Xenopus tropicalis: one gene and its partners. The protein of the gene in region 1 purifies or fractionates together with the protein of each later gene. This does not show direct contact. Links are inferred from orthologs where the notes say so. Each region holds a gene or a part of one and is shown in the gene's direction. Other genes may lie near its edges.

The links.
Region 2: the proteins of ap2a1 (region 1) and ralbp1 purify together in Homo sapiens (affinity purification with mass spectrometry; 5 studies listed by BioGRID and IntAct, with this or other methods). This does not show direct contact. The link is inferred for Xenopus tropicalis from reciprocal best matches to the Homo sapiens genes AP2A1 and RALBP1.
Region 3: the proteins of ap2a1 (region 1) and eps15 purify together in Homo sapiens (affinity purification with western blotting; 5 studies listed by BioGRID and IntAct, with this or other methods). This does not show direct contact. The link is inferred for Xenopus tropicalis from reciprocal best matches to the Homo sapiens genes AP2A1 and EPS15.

The regions. Positions count from the first base shown.
Region 1 is NC_030683.2:117,150,179-117,153,833, forward strand, and holds part of ap2a1 (AP-2 complex subunit alpha-1), read left to right. Parts: intron 1-586; coding exon 587-729; intron 730-1,478; coding exon 1,479-1,672; intron 1,673-3,655.
Region 2 is NC_030682.2:104,593,286-104,596,940, forward strand, and holds part of ralbp1 (ralA-binding protein 1), read left to right. Parts: intron 1-1,192; coding exon 1,193-1,542; intron 1,543-3,655. UniProt on the Homo sapiens protein: Multifunctional protein that functions as a downstream effector of RALA and RALB. As a GTPase-activating protein/GAP can inactivate CDC42 and RAC1 by stimulating their GTPase activity.
Region 3 is NC_030680.2:96,319,964-96,323,718, reverse strand, and holds the start of eps15 (epidermal growth factor receptor substrate 15), read left to right. Parts: upstream 1-1,067; 5' UTR 1,068-1,173; coding exon 1,174-1,200; intron 1,201-3,755. UniProt on the Homo sapiens protein: Involved in cell growth regulation. May be involved in the regulation of mitogenic signals and control of cell proliferation. Involved in the internalization of ligand-inducible receptors of the receptor tyrosine kinase (RTK) type, in particular EGFR.

The DNA.
Region 1 (3,655 bases):
TTAATATCAGGTTCCTTTTCTATATCATAGTATCTTAAGGTGGCCATACATGGGCAGATTTAATCTGGCGATTCAGGCTGTTCAGACCAACCTTATCTGCCCATGTATGGGGCCCTCCCATGGGCCTACCTGACCTATATCTGGGTGATAATTGGCCAGATGTCAACCGTAACATCTAGTTGAAGTGGTCCTCGCTTCGAGGCTCATATTCCCGTTGTTGTAATCTGATAATTTTGTTCCTAGGTCCACTTTAGGTGAGCATATTAAAGAGAACATCTGCTTGTATGGCAACCTCACCAAACGAGCAGATCTTACAGTGTGTGGCCAGCTTTACAGAGACAATTTAGGCCCAGAAGATGTAAAGAGAAATCTCTTCTCCCCATAATCCCACAAGTCTATCTGACAATGTTCCTGGAACCGGTCCCTGCCGCTGATAGCTTTTGTTTGTGGGCAGCTTAACTAAAAGCCTCTCCATTGTGCCAGCATTTATTAGTCTGTGGGCAGAACGTGTAAGAGCTCAGATATCAATATATTTTGTGTCACAGATGTTTGATTTCCCAGCGTCTTATGCCTTTTCTATAAATAGGTGACAAAGCGCTCGATGGCTACAGTAAGAAGAAATACGTCTGTAAGCTGCTCTTTATCTTCCTGCTGGGACATGATATCGACTTTGGGCATATGGAAGCTGTGAACTTGCTGAGCTCCAATAAATACACAGAGAAACAGATTGTAAGTAACTGAAAAACAGCATGAGAGGTACTACCTCCCGCCTGGATCTGTCACCCTGCCTCTGCCACCCTATAATTACACAAATAGCAAAATTACACAGGGTGGGGGGATGTACAGGCTTGCTTTCTTGTACAGGGGGGCTTCTACTACAGTAATGTCATACAGGGTATTTTCCTTCTTTTAGCAAGACATGGGTTTTAGTAATAACAGTGACTGAGATTTTAATTATGAATTTTATATGAGATAATTTCTGCCAAAGTAGAATGAGAACTGCAGGATATTTACCTTTATGCTATGGGTGTGTCTTACTTCTGTATTTAACTTGGAATTTAGGAAAACTTCTATGCCAGCTTTTTGTGGCTGTAAGCAAGCCTCAATACCGCAGGCTCTTAAAGGGCACCAATCAACCTAAAATTGCTTCCCCCAGCAGAGGTGCGGGCTAATAGAGCGTTCTCTCCCGTTGGGGGAAACAACAGCAGCGCTAGGCTGCCCACAATGGTATGGCACGTTGGGATGACTCAAAGGTATTTTAGATTTCTGAGCCCAACAAAACAATAGCTATATGGTCTAGTGTACATAGTTATATATATGAGAAATAAATGTTAATCCCAGATAAAACATTACAAGGCAGAATTTATTATTGTGATGTATAGAAGCAGAAATTGACAGATACTGAAGCCTCTTGTGGGGCAGCCACTGTTCTCATTCTTTTACCAATGCTAGCAATAAAAATTTTTTTACTTCCCTAGGGCTACCTTTTCATCTCCGTTCTTGTGAACTCCAACAGCGAACTCATTCGCCTCATTAACAATGCCATTAAAAACGACCTGGCCAGCCGGAACCCTACTTTTATGTGCCTGGCCCTGCACTGCATTGCAAATGTGGGGAGCAGAGAAATGGCCGAAGCGTTTGCCTCTGAGATACCAAGGATTCTGGTAGCAGGGTAAGGACTATTTGATTCTGGCATACCAGTCCAACCTGACATTCAAAGTGTCTCCACTCTGGGAACCTCAGACAAGTTAATTGTAAGGTGAATGATCCCCATTTAAGTTCTGTGCCCATGCAACCAGATGACATGATATTGGGGTGACTGCAGAAATCTGCACTATAGCCAAACCATCGCCCTACTTTATTCCTTAATTGCTAAATGACAAATTCTGTTATGTGCACCCCTCTGGTATGGACTGCCAGCTCCTTCTGGGTAAACTGTATTGTATTGGGTGAGAGCTGGAGAGTGCCTCAGGGACAGCTGATTGCTTCCTTTCCTTCTGCGTCCCTTCTGTGTCAGTACAGATGGACAGTATTACCCCTCCCAGACAAGGAGGTAGGACATATAACATAGCCAATCATATACCCATGGTCCTAGCCCTGTGCTAAAAAAATAACCCCCCCCTCCCTGTGGTATGTCCTACTATGCACAGAATTGAACCTGTTGCTTATTGGGAATAAATACAGTTGTGGTTATTCTTCCCATGTTCCTTCCTGAGAGATAATGTAGCCTTCTCCTATGGTTCTGCAAGCCTATAGAGGACTGACATCGGCTGCATACTAATTGGCTAGTTATGTCCCTCAGCTGGAAGCTGTCAGGGTTCTTGCTGGAGTTACCATCCTGCTGAATACTCCCTGCTGTCTTGTATGGTGCATTCACTCTTATGGGGCTCTTTGCTATTGCTAAAGTGTTTATTTGTAAGTCCTTTGTGCAGACAAAGTGGGTATTTGTGCTCCATATTACACCGGGTGCATCCAGGACTTGCTGGGGGTTGCATTGGTGTAGCAGTATGGTACCTCCTTCCTTTCTCACAATGGAACTGCACCTAATAAACAGCCTTTCTCCAGGGTTCTGACTGTAGTTTTAATTTTGCTGACAAGCCAATACTATGTAGAGGGCGCATGTGTTTCTTTGGGGCACTTTGCTTCCGTCTTGTGTGCTTGTTTTTGGCTCCTATACGTCACTACTATTTGGCAAGGGCAGGTTGGGGGTCATGTGTTTTACAGGTACAGTAACAGACTAGTGCGTCGGAGATTGCAAGCACAGTGCTAGCTTATGTGCAATGGCTTGTATGCTAGCTGTTTTTCGCTCTTGTGGTTTTGTATGTATGGTGTCTGGCCTGTCCACCCGTGGTTGGCATGCGTGGTGTCTGGCCTGTCCACCCGTGGTTGGCATGCGTGGTGTCTGGCCTGTCCACCCGTGGTTGGCATGGGTGGTGTCTGGCCTGTCCACCCGTGGTTGGCATGGGTGGTGTCTGGCCTGTCCACCCGTGGTTGGCATGGGTGGTGTCTGGCCTGTCCACCCGTGGTTGGCATGGGTGGTGTCTGGCCTGATTGCTGTGTGTCTTTGCACTGTAGGGCACCTTCACTTGTGTGTGGCATCAGCTCTGTGGTGGCATGATCTTCTGGTTCTTGTGTAGGTTTGGAGGTTTGTCTGTGGGGCTAGATGCTTGTGAGTGCCAAGCCTTATTTTCCAGGGCCACAGGCTAGTGCTGAGGGATGGGTACATAGCCCCAGCACTAGTGGAAGGTGTATCTAATTGTTGCCAGTTTCTTGTGTGGATTATGTGACCTGCTGGTGGATACTAGTGAGTTGGCTAGTGCCAGGGTTATGGTTATTGCAGCGAGTGGGTGTCTGTGTCTTTACAGTTTCTTGCACCATATTGTGGAAGTCCCTCTGGTCTGTGAGGGAACTCTTGTAGTAGGGAATGGACATTTTTACTCTGTGATGCTTTATTCTCATCTTATGCTGTATTTGGTAGATTGGGTTTTGTAGTTTTTGAGGTCAATTGCTTATCATGCCCCGGGCCATTCTTGTACTTATGCACTTAAGCGTTTTATGCCTCTCGTTTTCAGGGATTTTGTGTTATATCAGCTTCCCCATTTAGTGAATGTTATGTTTGGCCTTTTAGCATCTGTTGGTTTTATTCAATATTATT
Region 2 (3,655 bases), on another chromosome or scaffold:
CACCCCCATGCTTGACTGTGGGGACGGTGTTTTGGGGGTCATAGGCAGCATTTTTCTTCCTCCAAACACAGTCACTCACAAAATCATTCAGGTGTTCATTGGCAAACTTCAGACGGGCCTGCACATGTGCCTTCTTGAGCAGGGGGACCTTGCGAGCCCTGCAGGATTTTAATCCATTGCGGTGTAATGTGTTTCCAATGGTTTTCTTGGTGACTGTGGTCCCTGCTAATTTGAGGTCATTAACTAACTCCTCCCGTGTAGTTCTTGGATGCTTTTTCACCAATCTCAGAATCATTGACACCCCACGAGGTGAGATCTTGCGTGGAGCCCCAGAGCGAGGTCGATTGATGGTCATTTTGTGCTCCTTCCATTTTCGAACAATCGCACCAACAGTTGTCACCTTCTCTCCCAGCTTCTTGCTAATGGTTTTGTAGCCCATTCCAGCCTTGTGCAGGTCTACAATTTTGTCTCTGACATCCTTGGACAGCTCTTTGGTCTTTCCCATGTTGGAGAGTTTGGAGTCTGCTTGATTGATTGATTCTGTGGACAGGTGTCTTTTATACAGGTGACTCGTTAAGACAGGTGTCCTTAATGAGGTCGACTAATTGAGTAGAAGTGTCTAACCACTCTGTGGGAGCCAGAACTTTTAATGGTTGGTAGGGGTTCAAAAACTTATTTCACTCAATGAAATGCAAATCAGTTGCTATCTTTTATTTAAAGTTATTTTTTCGATTTTCCTTTTGATGTGCTATCTGCCACTGTTAAAATAAACCTACCATTGAAATGATACTGTTCTGAGACTTTTCATTTCTTTGTCATTGGACAAACTTACAAAATCAGTGAGGGGTCAAATAATTATTTCCTCCACTGTACATGGGTTATTAAATGTTTGGTGTTGCTAATGGTTTAAGATTTTACATTATTTTCAGTTAAAGATGTATACCTTTTGAATTCTGGCAACAGTATCCCTTTAAGTATAGTCAGCAGTTAGCATGGAGTTGAAGTAAAAATCCAATGAAATGCCCCATACCGAGACACAAGCAGCACTATATACATTTATTGGAGATAAAATAAGGGCAGGACCACGTGTATAAAATGCTGTTACATTCTTGTTATATTCTTTTATATATTATATTCTTTTATAAAGTGTATATATGAACTTATTTAGTGCTTATTATTTTTGCTTTCCCAGGAATAAAGTCGAAGGTGGATGAGCTAAAGGCAGCTTATGACAGAGGGGAGTCTCCAAACCTGGAGGATTATGAGCCATACACAGTGGCAAGTTTATTAAAGCAATACCTGCGGGAGCTACCAGAAAATGTGCTGACCAAAGATCTAATGCCACGGTTTGAGGAGGCGTGTGGCAAAAGTACAGAAGGGGAGAGGCTGCAGGAGTGTCAGCGCTTATTGAAGGAACTGCCAGAATGCAACTTCTGCCTGACTTCATGGCTAATAGTGCACATGGACCATGTCATAGAGAAGGAACTTGAAACAAAAATGAACATACAGAACATTTCTATTGTGCTGAGCCCTACTGTTCAGGTACAAAAGAAACGACTGCCAGAGTTTGGCACAGTGTATGGGATTAATCATGTTTTCTGTGAGTGAGTGATCTACTTGTGTGAATGTGCAGTATGTGGGCTTCCAATTAATTTACTTTCCTTCTTATTTTGCAAAATGAGCTGTGTACTACCAACAGTACTACTAACAATATGCTATTGGAGAATAGGGAAATGCAATTTATAGTTTCAAGAAAGAGTTCACCTTTATTAAAATGTAGACAGTGACAGATATTTTGAGGCAGTTCGTAATTACTCTTTATTTTTTTAGTTATTGAATTTTGAGTTATTTAGCTTTTTGTTGAGCAACTCTCCAACTGCTGAACCCTAGCAACTAAATAGCAGCTATCTAATAGCGGGGTCCAATTTACTCTAGTAACTAAGCAGTGGCGCGAATGGGAGACTGAAAGTAATTAAAGGTATCAATAACAATAAAACTGCAGCCTCACAGAGCAAAGCTAGTAATTCAGAAAATAGAAAAAAAAAACTGAAACCCCCCAAAAAATTTAATAAAAAACAAAAATGTAAAAGGTGCTAAGAATACTCCATTCTATAACACACTAAATTTTAATTTAAATGTGAACTACACAAAGAAATGGATGGTTAATTATTTTAAAAGGGGATGTTCACGTTAAAAATAGCTTTTATTTTGATGTAGAATTAAGCATTTTAGTACAAATTGCCATTGCACCTTGTTTGATACTGAAGTGATGGATACTGGGACTTGAAGTAGCCCAGAAGTCCCAGAATCCTTCATTCAGTATGGAGTAAGGTTGGAGCTGAATCTCTTCAATGCCTGGGCTTGGGAAATGGTCCCTGTAAAAAAGAGGCAGACTATGGTTGAACAGAACAAGCTTATGTCTAAGAGAGGGGGGGGGGGGGGGGACTGGACAGAGCTTCTGGTGGAGTTTGTACTTAGCATTTAGCTGCTCAGTTCCATCAATTGCCATTCTTTGATTTTAGCTGATGACCATTTGTAAAGATTCTTTTCCATTTCCCCCTAATTGTGCATATATGAACTACTATTTATTTTACTGAAAAAAACAAATTATCCTCTTTTCATTAATTCTGCTGAGCCAGTTGGCTTGTATATAGGACTGTTGAACATTAGACATTGGGTGAGATGGAGGCCTATTAACTAAACAAAAATAGGACTACAACTTGAATTCAAGCCCCTATCAGTCAGCCCATATTTAGATGATGCTGGAGATTTTCTAAAGGCTAAATCTGTTCTTCCTTCCTTCCTTGATCCCTCTGGAAAACAGACAATAGCTGATGGGTTTCATGAGCTTTTGTCTGAAAAAAAAAAGTGGCAAATGCTGATATATTTACATTTAGAGATTTAGTATCTGTTGAGGAAATCTAAGCATTCTGTGTTGTAAAATGATTTTACTGTCAACAGTAATCAGTTTTGTAGATTGCCAAGGATGGTTTTTTTTTTTTTCCCCGTAAACTTACATTTAAGTTGTTATATAAAGTACTGTTTCCGGATAATCGCAACGCATTATATAAATACATTTGCCTTAATAGTGTTATACTTAAGTTGTATTTTAATAGCAAAGTAACTTTGGCTTCCATTTAAATACTTAGGGAAATATTTATCAAGGTGTGAGATTAGAGCTCACCACAGAAATATTCACCCACTTCCTATTAATTTCTGTGGGATGTTCAGAGGGGTTCTTTATCAAATGGTGAGCTCTAACTTTTCACCCCTTTATAAACACACTTTTGAAAATCCCTTAGAAATCAATAGAGAGTGGGTTAAATTTTATGTTGTGGGCTTTAACCTCACGTTTTGATAACTCTTTCCCATAATGTGTAATATATATGTAATCACATAAAATAATACAAATAGAGGATAAATGTAATTTTGCTATTGAAAAAAGTGTCTGTTTGAGGGGTGAGAGAATATAAACACCCAGACAATGTTGCAAGCCTGCTGAATAAGAGGCCTAGAGTAGAACAGACTCCAGTTACATTGTTTTAATGTTGCTAGTCATGATTTTTCTTTACATGCCCTGGACAGTAAGGGGTATATTTATCATGCCATGTAAAACGTGGAGTGAAGCATTACTGGTGATGTTGCCCAGGGCAAC
Region 3 (3,755 bases), on another chromosome or scaffold:
ATTAAAAGTTAACAGGGTTTTGGGAGATAGCTGTCAGTACAAGTTGATCCAGGGACTGGTCCGGAAGGAACTTTTTCCCCCTCTGCAGCAAATTAGAGAGGCTTCAGATGGGGTTTTTTGCCTTCCCCTGGATCACCTAGCAGTTAGGCAAGTTATCAGGGGCGGGCCGAGCCGACCGGGCGCCCTAGGCAACCCGGTTGGCTACGTCGCCCCTGCACCGCTACTTTGCAAACCCTCCCCGTGTGTTTTGACACGCATGCGCAGTTTGTGCGCGGGGGGCGCGGTGTGCGATTTGAAATGGCACGATGCAACCTAGGGGTAGGCAGGCGAGGCTGCTGCCTGGCACCCCCCAATCGTTGCGCCCTAGGCAGCTGCCTCTTCTGCCTACCCCTAGTTCCAGCCCTGCAAGTTATACATAGGCATTATGGTTGAATCTGATAGACGTACGTCTTTTTTCAACCTAAGTAACAATGTTCCTATTTACCTTGTGAATGTGTCAACATTTCTATTGTCCTAAACATGGTTTTTGGTTATTTCGGCCACATATTGTGGTGTGCAATGTCAGATCTGCCATTGCCCAGGTCTCTGAGGCTTTACAGTGAGGGTAAGTATCCCAGGTTTTTCTACGTCCCAAACAGGTACCTCGCAATATAACTGCCACCACACCTTGCAAGGAAAAGTATAGAAACACACCAATACTTTTTCTAAATAAAGTATATTATATTCTATAAGCGCCCCCTAACAGCCCGGCTGGAAAAAAACACATTTTGACATTTCCTTACAGTTCCCAACTTCCCAGCCGTCCCGTGACCCCATTCTCCTTACACTTCCAGCGCTCCACCTCCCACTGGTTCATCCCATTAGCACTCAGGCTCTCCCATATTTACTTGCAGCAGCTCCTTCCACTAGCTCTCACACAGTCCCCTCCTCATAGTGGCTCCACCCATTAGCTCTTACACAGTCCCCTCCTCATGGTGGCCCCACCCACTAGCTCTCACACAGTCCCCTCCTCATAGTGGCCCCACCCACTAGCCCTCACACAGTCCCCTCCTCATAGTGGCCCCACCCACTAGCTCTCACACAGTCCCCTCCTCATAGTGGCCCCACCCACTATCTCACACACTCTCCCTCCCCTCTTTCTGTGCATGATGGGCGGATCGGGTCGGAAGCAGCATGGCGGCCTCACTGCCCCGGACACAGGTAACACTTTACTCAGGGCAAAGTTGCGTTGTTCTGTGGGCAACAGTGTACCGGGGCCCACTGGGAGTGTACCGGGAGCAGTGTTTGCTGTACCCGACCAGTTCTTGTTGCGGTGACACACTCGGAGAAGGAGTTTGAAACTATCATAGCCATTCGAGTTCAGTATGACAGAGTATGTGGGCGACACTAACTTGTATGGATTTCACAATTATTGCTGAACTGCAGCTTTTACACTCTCAACACAAGCTTCAGAAAGTAGTGTATAATGAGGAAGTTGGTACGACACTTTAGCAAGTCGCTGGGTCGTATGCTATGGTTTTCGGTATACTCGGTTGGTGTGTCTGTTGTGTTGCTTTGGAAACAGAGAAAGTTGCTTTTTCATGGTATAAATGTTGCGGATACCCATGAAGATGGACGTGAGCTGCGCAATATTTAGTTTCAGTCTTTGCAGTCAGTGGGAGAAGTAGCAGATGACTGTCAGGCAGTGGGGAATCATCAGACTGATCCAGTGGGCGAACTTGTTGAGTGATACATGGGGATTCACAATTTGTCGCTTGCTACATATATGTAAGTTTTATACCCGTTTCATGACATGCAGCCCACCAGTTTACCAGTTAAACCTCTTATTGCACAATTCAGCAACATAACATGGGCGTGTATGGGAATATTTGTAAAACTACATGGAAATCAAAACCTTTTGTAAATGGGACATAATTTCTCTTTAAAGGTCTCTGACATTTCAAATAATTCACTGGGCTTCCTGGATAAAATGCATGTGAATGTCGCAGTACTTGTGGTTCTGCTTTGTGTCTATAAAGATATGACTGTGCACATTTTGGCAACAATTTTTGAGAGGAATATAGGGTGGTTGGGGTGAAGAAAAAGAATGTTAAACTTTACATGCAGGCTTAAAGCTGCTGAACTGCATACCTCCCAACATGTGAATAATCAAAAAAGGAACATAAGGACCTGCAGCAGGGAAACTTTTGTCCACAGGCACTTTGTGGCTACGCCCTCAAAATACTACGCCTATTTAACAAAACATCGCTTTTTACATGGTTGGAATGGCAGTATTGCAAGTAAAGAAGCAATAGGTGTACTAGTGTTTTATGCAGGGACATTGCAGCCCTACATCATCATTCCAGCTGGGTGCAGTCGTTTAAGCCCTTTATACAATGTGAATAATGATTTCGCAGTCTTGTTTTTCAAGACTTGAAATTTGATTTGTGAGGGACTGCACTGGACCAAAAAATGACAACTGTCCCGCAAAAAGGTATCTATCTAATAGGTAACTATTGGGATTATATTATCAAATAGTGCTCATTTATAAACACTTGGCAAATTTGCCCCAAGCAACCAGTCAGTGAGACTCCTTTATCAACACTGGGCAAATTTGACCATGGGCAGTAACCCATAGCAACCATTCAGTGATTGGCTTTATTTAGCCAGCTGCAGGTAGAACAATGGTTGCTCATGGGCAAATGTGTCTACTGTCTATATTTTTTTCAGCTAGCTGCAGGTAGAACAATGAAAGCAAGCATGTGATTGGTTGACACGCATGGGGTTACTCCCCATATGCAATTTTCCCGGTTTTTAGAAATGCCCCCACTAACTTTGTCCTGTTGCAATAACAACAATAGCAACAAATTAGCAGGTAGCATTTACTGGTCACCTTTTTACATCTTATTGCTTGCTATGGATTACAGGTATGGGATCCATTATGCAGAAATGGATCCCAGATCCATTTCTCAGATTTTTAAAATTGATTTCCTTTTTCTTTGTAATAATAAAACAGTACTAAAAATTACATTACACGGGAGCACTTACCGCAAGCCCAAGTGTGCTGTCACGCAGACCCACTCCCAAAGGTCCAAAAGCCAAGCAAAAATAGAAAGATAATAAATAGCGGAGCACCACGAGGATAAGATTAAAATCCAGTCTTTATTCCATCATAGATAAAAGGCACATGCACATCCCTCAGGGTCTAACGCTTTAAGCGTTAGACCCTGAGGGATGTGCATGTGCCTTTTATCTATGATGGAATAAAGACTGGATTTTAATCTTATCCCCCTGGTGCTCCGCTATTTATTATCTTAATAATAAAACAGTACCTTGTATTTGATCCCAACTAAGATTTAATCAATCATTATTGGATGCAAAACAATTCTATTGGGTTTATTAATGTTTTACTGATTTTTTTAGTAGACTTAAGGTATGGAGATCCAAAATACAGAAAGACCCCATTTCTGGAATACCCTTGGTCCCGGGCATTCTGGATAATGGGTCCTATACCTGTACTGGAAAAACTTAGTTGCTCTCATTACAATGGGGGTTTAAATCTTAGAATGTAATTATACACCAAGGCTGTTATAAAGATTACAACTAAATGACAAGTAAACCCCTAAACCGGGGGTGGCCAATGTGTCAATCGTGGTCCACCAGTAGATCCCCTGTGGATTTCTGGTTACAAGTGCTGCGCAAATGCGTACGTACACTGAGTCACGTACGTATGCATTCATGTCGCATTCTGCAGGACAGCGGTCCTCAACCTGTGG